Xenopus tropicalis: one gene and its partner. Each later gene encodes a partner of the first gene's protein in a complex. Links are inferred from orthologs where the notes say so. Each region holds a gene or a part of one and is shown on either strand. Other genes may lie near its edges. The genes, in order: cep152 and cep63.

Region 1 (4,475 bases):
GTCAAAATGTGCCATGCTGATAGACTCATACCCAAAAAGACTGAGTGCTGTAATAAAATCAAAAGGTGCTTCAACAAAGTATTAGTTTAAGGGTGTGCACACTTATGCACCCACATTATTTTAGTTTTTTTGTTTTTCTTCCCTCCACCTAAAAGATTTCAGTTTGTTTTTCAATTGAGTGGTACAGTTTATAGGTCACATTAAAGGTGGAAAAATGTCAATAAAGACCAACTAGAGCAGCTGAACTTTATTTGGGGTTAATCAAAGGCACTTTAAATGATGGCAGGTGTATGATGATTCCTATTTAACATGATTTTGAATGTGATTGCTTAATTCTGAACACAGCTACAATCCCCAGTTAGAAGAGGGTGTGCACACTTATGCAACCACATTATTTGTTTTTTTGGTTTTCTTCCCTCCACCTAAAAGATTTCAGTTTGTTTTTCAATTGAGTGGTACAGTGTATAGGTAACATTAAAGGTGGAAAAAGTTCTCAAATGATTTATCTTTGTCTCATTTTTGTACAGCACAGGAACCTGACATTTTACCCGGGGTGTGTAGACTTTTTATATCCACTGTATATAGTTACTGTTAGCAGGGAGTGCGTATGGCTAGTCAGAAGGCCAAAGAAAACAGGATAAAGCCCTTAGGACCAAAGAGCAAACTTAAAACTAGAACAATCGAGTCTTCATAAAAAAATTAAAAAGAGCTATTCAAAATATTAAATATATATATATACACACAGACTTCAACTTACACATTTTATACTCTCTGGGACTTATTCCTAGGCATGTATTTATACGTTGTTCCCCTTTATGAAATGGTACTGGAGAGAATGCATAATGTAGGGTACCATAGAATATGTATGTATCTATATTTCTTAATAACATGTTTTAAATAAACGTTTTCAGTTTTTTACGAAGAATTTCTGACTTACAGACTATGATGGTTCCAACCATAAACACAGTTTACTAACTAGATACACGCATATTCCCACACACCCTGCCCCGTAAGAATCTGTTGGTCCTACGTTTCCTGAACACCTGTATGGACAATCCGTGTTTTTTTTTTTTTTTTACCGTCTAACCGTATAAAACACTGTGGTTTTAGGGGAATCGCCGTTGCCATGGCTACCCAGCCGCGGCGTGCCCCATTAGCACACGTTCATATCGCTTTTTTTTTTTTTTTTTTTTTTTTTTTTTTTTAAAGACGGCAGCTACGTAAAAACAAAACTCCCGGTATGTACCCCTTGGTCCAACCATTATGATTCATTATGACCAATTAAACGAGTCTCTCCTTATGCCAACAGTTACTAGGAGTGCGGTAATCCCGCCTCATATTGCTTCTCAGCCAATGGAACTCGCACGCAGGATTCCCGCTACCTCTCGCGCCACTAGCTCGCTTTCGCTGTTACTGGGATTGGTCAATTGGCAGCACGGCGCAGCCTATCAGGTTCATTTGTACGGGGTAGTCATTCATGCCGGGGCGGGTCTTGAACATACCACCAACCAGAAAGGCCTAACGACAAAGAGCTAGGAATTTCGCGTATGTGATTGGATAAAGATAATATCAATCTATTGCTCAGGGGCGAATTGGGTTTTCTGTGTCCCATTTTGACTGTTGAGAGGGAAGTCTGTTTATGTCCGGGATTTTGTGAAGTTGTAGAGTTGCTGATACGGAATTGTTGTTCCTGGAGCTGATGAAGAAGCTGGTGGCTTTAGCTGCCGGGGTGTAGGTGACTTGTTCTGGTAAGTTTTCACGTATTTACCAAGATGGAAGTTAGCACAACTGGATAGTAAGATAGGCTTTCTGCGTACACAGCACCCAAGATTCCCTTTCACATTCACAGGGACAGGTAGCAGCTTTCCATCAGACGAATTGGGTGTAGCCTTCCTCATTTATAGCCGATGTGAACCTGAAAATAAAAATGAATTTGTAATTCTAAGCAATTTTCCAATATACATTCATTACACCTTTTCAGTGATTTCAAAATTGTGTGCAAATACAATCGCTGAATGCAGCATTCATCACTTTCTGCCCTAATGGTTATGACTTCTGAAACTATGTAGCACATAGGACTGACTTCTGCTACATTGTTTCAAGGGACAACCCATATTACAGAAAGGTATAGAAACAATTATGCTCGTTATTAAGCATACATCTGCCTGCCTTGCATCTCATCCCCACGCCAAGGGTATTAATATGAAGTTGTTCCTTCCTGTTCTACTATTACAAGCTTTGCATTTCTTGGAAGGACTTCATTGTATTACGACATTGTTCTTGGGATGTGCTTCTATTAAGTCACAAGCATTAGAGAACTTGCACGGTCAGTCTCTGCTTTTAATTTGTGTTCTCATTTGTCCACAGTTGTCTGTTTTGTTTGTTCAGGGCACTATGTTAAGCTGGCCATACCCTGTAAGATCCGCTTGTTTGGCGAGGCAGCCAAATGAGCAGATCTTCCGATATGCCCACCTAAAGTGGGCGATATCTGGCTAATTCTCGTTTGGCCCTAGATCATTGTTTGGTCAAACGATTATATTAAACCGGCAGGCTCAGACGCCGCCGGACTGAGGACAGCATCAATGATCCAATGTGGTCCCCGTTCTGACAGAAAATCCAACCTTCCAGATCGAGATCTGGACAATTTTAGGCCAGATCTCATTCGGGTAGGCCCGTTGGGGGTGCCTATACACAGGAAGATAAGCTGCTGAATCGGTCTAAAGGACCCAAGTTGGCAGCTAAAATCTGCCTGTGTATGGCCACCTTAAGTTAGTCAGGTTCTTCCACTCCTATTTGAAAAACTGAAAATCATATACTGAGATTTTAAATTCCTAGACTGAAACATGGCAGTTGGCACAGGTTTCATTAGTGTCCACTGCCATATGCAAGGCTTGCTATTTAATTAATGTATTCACTTTTTTTTTTTATAGATATTTTATACCCTGTAAGGGTTTTGTGCATGCTTGATAATGTCTATCGATTTTGATAGTGGAGCACTGCAGATTCAGCAAGAGGATGAAGAGTATGATAAAGAGGATTATGCCCGGGAGCAAGAGGTGAGAAAGTGGTTCAGAATTAATTATAGTGTCTGGTGCAAAAGTGTGGTAAAGGACAAGCCACCTGTTGCTAGCTTTTCATTATTCTTTGTCTCCACTGCTCTCACCTTTTGTGTAAAAGCCACAGCAGAGATTAATTTACTATAACCATCTGTTTTGAATATTCCCTTGTGTACTTTGAAGGTCTTGTCTGTATATAGTAAAACTAAAGTCTGTCTTGTGATGTAAGCAGTAGAATCTTACTTGTTTAAACTATTTTACATTCTTTGTTTAAAGGGATCTATTATATGTTGATTGTGTGCAAATATTTTTTCACCACACTTTATATCAAACTACATTTATTTTAGTAGAAATACATGAATCGGTTTATTGCTGTATGACTTAAAGAAGTAGTTCACCATAAAATTAACTTCTAGTATGGTATCTATAAAGAAGCATATAAGGCATTTTGGGAATCCGCTTCTTAGGGTTCCATTTGTTTTCATTGTGGGGAAAAAAGTTTTGTTTGTTTGAGACATTATACATGTCATTAATTAACCCCTTCTTCTTCATTATCATTAAAAAAACCAGTGTTAAAAATCCACGCTATGCAGTAGTATATAAATAGTAGTGTGCAGCTAAAGCAAAATTCCAGTCTGGTTCTTTGTCTCCCCATTTGTGCAAAGTCAATAATGCCATTGTCTGTTTTGATTTAAAGCTGCAACAGTTGTTAACAGATCTTCCCCATGACATGCTTGATGACAGCCTTTCCTCATCACCAGAACCAAGCTATAGTGATTGCAGCGGCCATGAAGTTTCAGAACAGTAAGTGACAGGAATCCTTACAGTTAGATGACCCTTTAGTTGCCTTATTGGACATTGATGTCAATGCTGCCATTTTTTTTATATGCATTGGGTCAGTTATTCTTGTACGACATGGAAGGAAAGAAATTATATCAAATTATATCAAATGATGTCTTGTGAAGGAGCCATAGAAATCCCTTGCAGGCAGGCAACAGTTTGACAGCCCTTATGTAGGACATACTTTTAAAGGAGACCTATAACATAAGTAATACCCCCTAATCTTGTAGGCAGTAAATAATAATAATAATATGGGCTAAAATTATCATTTTCTCTAAAAATGACCCCTTTTATTGAAGCCCTCTTATACTTCCCCCTGGTCCCTGTCCAAATTTAAATAAAGGGTGGGTGTGTTCTAACAGCCCCTGCCAGAAGTGCAGTAGGAGTTGGATAACCAATCACAGCCCTACAGTCCCACAAGCAAAGACAGGCTTCAGTTCCCTATCAGGTCAACTCACTGCTGATTGGTTCCTATTCTTCTGTGAGTTTGCTGAGTGCTACTGACACATGCACAGCCAGGAAAAGGAGGCAGGGGGAAGTGGAATAGGTGGGTGCTAGCAGGGAACTAGCAGGGTTTTT
Region 2 (2,814 bases), on another chromosome or scaffold:
ATCCCCACTTGGTGAGCAGCTGTTATGTCTGTCACTAAGGGTTCTCTGTATCACTCTTTTAGTGTTGAGTCTGTGGCAACACAGTGTCAGCTGCTGGCAAAGGAGCTAAAAGCAAAGGCGGAATATCTACATGAGGTTGAAGAGGAACATAAAAAATGCTTGGCTGAAATGAAAAAGGTGAGGACAACTGACCAGTAAAACCCCCAAATTTGTTAAAGGGTTTGTTCACCTTTGTACAACATTCAGAAATCTTAACAGGTCACATTAATGGAATATTTGTCATATAAATAGTTAATAAAAAATGTGCAGCTGAAGAGAGATTCTCCTCAGAATCATCCTCTACAATCTCCTTTTTACTTCTTTATATGATGTCACACATAGTACTGGCAGCAGATTTAACTTCTATTTACTGTGTCTCCCGTCAGTCTGACATTGCTTCCTGTGTCTGTGACAGAGTGCTGCAACTCTAACACAACTGTGTGTTAGATCTGTGATATGTGGCCTATGCCTTTGCAAGGGAGAAATTAACCAATATCCTTTTAATTTATGGAACTGGAATGCACAAGCAACCAATGAATTGGTCCAATGGGAAAAAAGTAAGGGCAAAGCCTAAACATGATGTAGGCATATAGGAAGTTCTCATTGTGTCAGGAGTTCAAAATAGGCCAGTCCTGTCCCTTCAGAAAACTGATCAGAGAGGCAGGAGAAGGACTGTCACCATCGTTCCTCCATCTTCTCCTTCACGGCTTTTGTAAAAACAAGTAGGATTGTAAAAATGGTAATTATGTACCAAACATAATAAAAAGATAATGCTTAGCTGTTATTAAGCTATGAGGTTAATTAGTGCAAACTCCCTTTTTGTGCAATAACAGGGTAATCCTTTGATTTGGGAAGTCCCACTTACAAAAGCATTCAGCAGCTAGTATAAAAATCCTTTTACAATGCAATATATATTGCAATTGGATAAGCAAGCATAATGCAATAAATAGTACCCTTTTTAGTGCTTATTAGGAATAACTGGTATATCGCTGACTATACATAATTGTTTTATAAAAATGGTTAGCATGGCAACACCCAAGGTGACTGGAAAGTACTGCTGGGACTGGGCAGGATTAATATTTAATTCCAGGGCTGCATAGGGATAGATGAGCTTCATTTGCAACTTGATATATTTAATTTTTCTGTATTCTGCGGTGCAGAAGACCTTTGAAGGTCTTTTGGAGGCGTGCAGATATGTTATTAACATTTGTGTCTCGGCAGCTGAAAGGCCAGCTCTCACAGACTGAGCTGACCCACAAGAGTGTGCTGGATGGGATGAGGAAGGAGATCTCACAGCTCACTCAGGAGTTACACACGAGAGATATCAGAATGGCTTCCAATGCAGGCATCGACTGGGAAAGGAAAATTCGAGCTGAACGGGAGAGAGCAGAGAGAGAGGCAGCAGAAAACAGGGTGAGCTCCAGGCTGCTCAGTTTTTGTACATTGTGCATATGTATGTTGTCTTAACTTTCTCATGCTAGTTCCCTTAATTTGCTTCCATTAACATTCTCCTGCTTTGCATTTTTTCTTATGTGTTTGAGACGCAAGTTTTTTTTTTTTATTGATTCCCTTATATTCTTCCTGCTTGTGCTCATGAGCAGTCAGGGCTATGTTTTTTCTTTTTTAGACTCCACATATTCTTGCGATTAATGCATGTTCAAAAGACCATAGAATAGAGGGTTGTGTTTACACTAACAAAATATGTACTTATGTTCCTTTTAAAAAAACACATATAAATGCAAAATATGTGGTTTTTATGCTTTCAGAATGCGTTTATAAATGCAAAAAAAACCCTCCTGTTTAAGAAGCTTAAGATATCATAGTTTTGTTAGATATAGAACACTTTCAGATGAGGAGGATAGAAAAATGTTTTTTCTTGGGATAGGCTACCAATTGAAGGCTTCGGAGAACATATAATTCATTTTTAATATATATGGTTTAGCCTTCCTAAATCTTTATAATATTCCCCATATGAAATATTTTATATACATTCATTGTTTTTCTTTTAGAAAAAGGTAGTTTTTTTCTTTAATATTACATTTATTTTTTCTTTTCTGTTTTCTTTCTTTCATACACCTGTTCAATATTACAGACACTGAATAATTTGGAGCAGGCAAATCAGAGGCTGCAAAAGGAGCTGCTGCAGACACAGGAGAAACTGGAGCTGATCATGCAGAGAAGAGAGTCTGAAATCCAGAATGCAGTGGATAGGTAAGCCATGTTGGAAGGAGGTGGCTATTCTGTCTAAGGAGCAGCAACACTCATATTTTGCTTTTTATGTTAGAAAAAATGGGTACCAAGATAAAGCAAGGAAAAGAGGAGTCATGCAGTTTATTACATTATGTTTGTTCGAGCAGCACTGACTGTATAATATCATTTGGTTGATGATTTTATATGTTATAGTAATAAGCTATAATTGTAACAGTATTTGTAGCAACACATCCATTGTTTATTCTGTACTATTATTGTATATACCTGTTGGGTTCGGGCATTAAAAGCACAGCAAGTCTGGAATCCACAAGAAGCCAACATTATTCTGCTGCATTTGGCAGTCTTGTATGCACTGCAGTAGTTATGGTATGTATGCAGTTTGCGTACAGCAAGAAGATTCACCGGATATCAGTGAACTGGCATGCAGCTGTGCTGATATTGTGGTACCTTTTCTTACTGTGATTAAACCAATGGTGGTCAGACTCAGCAAGTAGAGGGCTGCTTTTAATGAATTTTACACACCTGAGTCTACTATCTCAACACTGATGTGGAATATGTAATATT

The links.
Region 2: the proteins of cep152 (region 1) and cep63 are in contact, whole or in part, in a crystal structure (PDB 6CSU), measured with the Homo sapiens proteins. The link is inferred for Xenopus tropicalis from reciprocal best matches to the Homo sapiens genes CEP152 and CEP63. Residues at the interface, in NP_001181927.1 of Homo sapiens: Gly1261, Ala1262, Glu1265, Leu1266, Gln1269, Tyr1270, Lys1272, Ala1273, Lys1276, Ile1277, Asp1280, Met1281, Tyr1284, Glu1287, Ser1288, Arg1291, Ala1292, Met1295, Ala1298, Arg1302; in NP_001340037.1 of Homo sapiens: Phe666, Glu669, Glu670, Arg673, Ile677, Arg680, Leu681, His684, Glu687, Leu688, Glu691, Ser692, Thr695, Phe699.

Annotation. Positions count from the first base shown.
Region 1 is NC_030679.2:103,988,775-103,993,249, reverse strand, and holds the start of cep152 (centrosomal protein of 152 kDa), read left to right. Parts: upstream 1-1,517; 5' UTR 1,518-1,748; intron 1,749-2,930; 5' UTR 2,931-2,969; coding exon 2,970-3,056; intron 3,057-3,753; coding exon 3,754-3,860; intron 3,861-4,475. UniProt on the Homo sapiens protein: Necessary for centrosome duplication; the function also seems to involve CEP63, CDK5RAP2 and WDR62 through a stepwise assembled complex at the centrosome that recruits CDK2 required for centriole duplication.
Region 2 is NC_030681.2:130,333,214-130,336,027, forward strand, and holds part of cep63 (centrosomal protein of 63 kDa), read left to right. Parts: intron 1-62; coding exon 63-177; intron 178-1,260; coding exon 1,261-1,452; intron 1,453-2,131; coding exon 2,132-2,250; intron 2,251-2,814. UniProt on the Homo sapiens protein: Required for normal spindle assembly.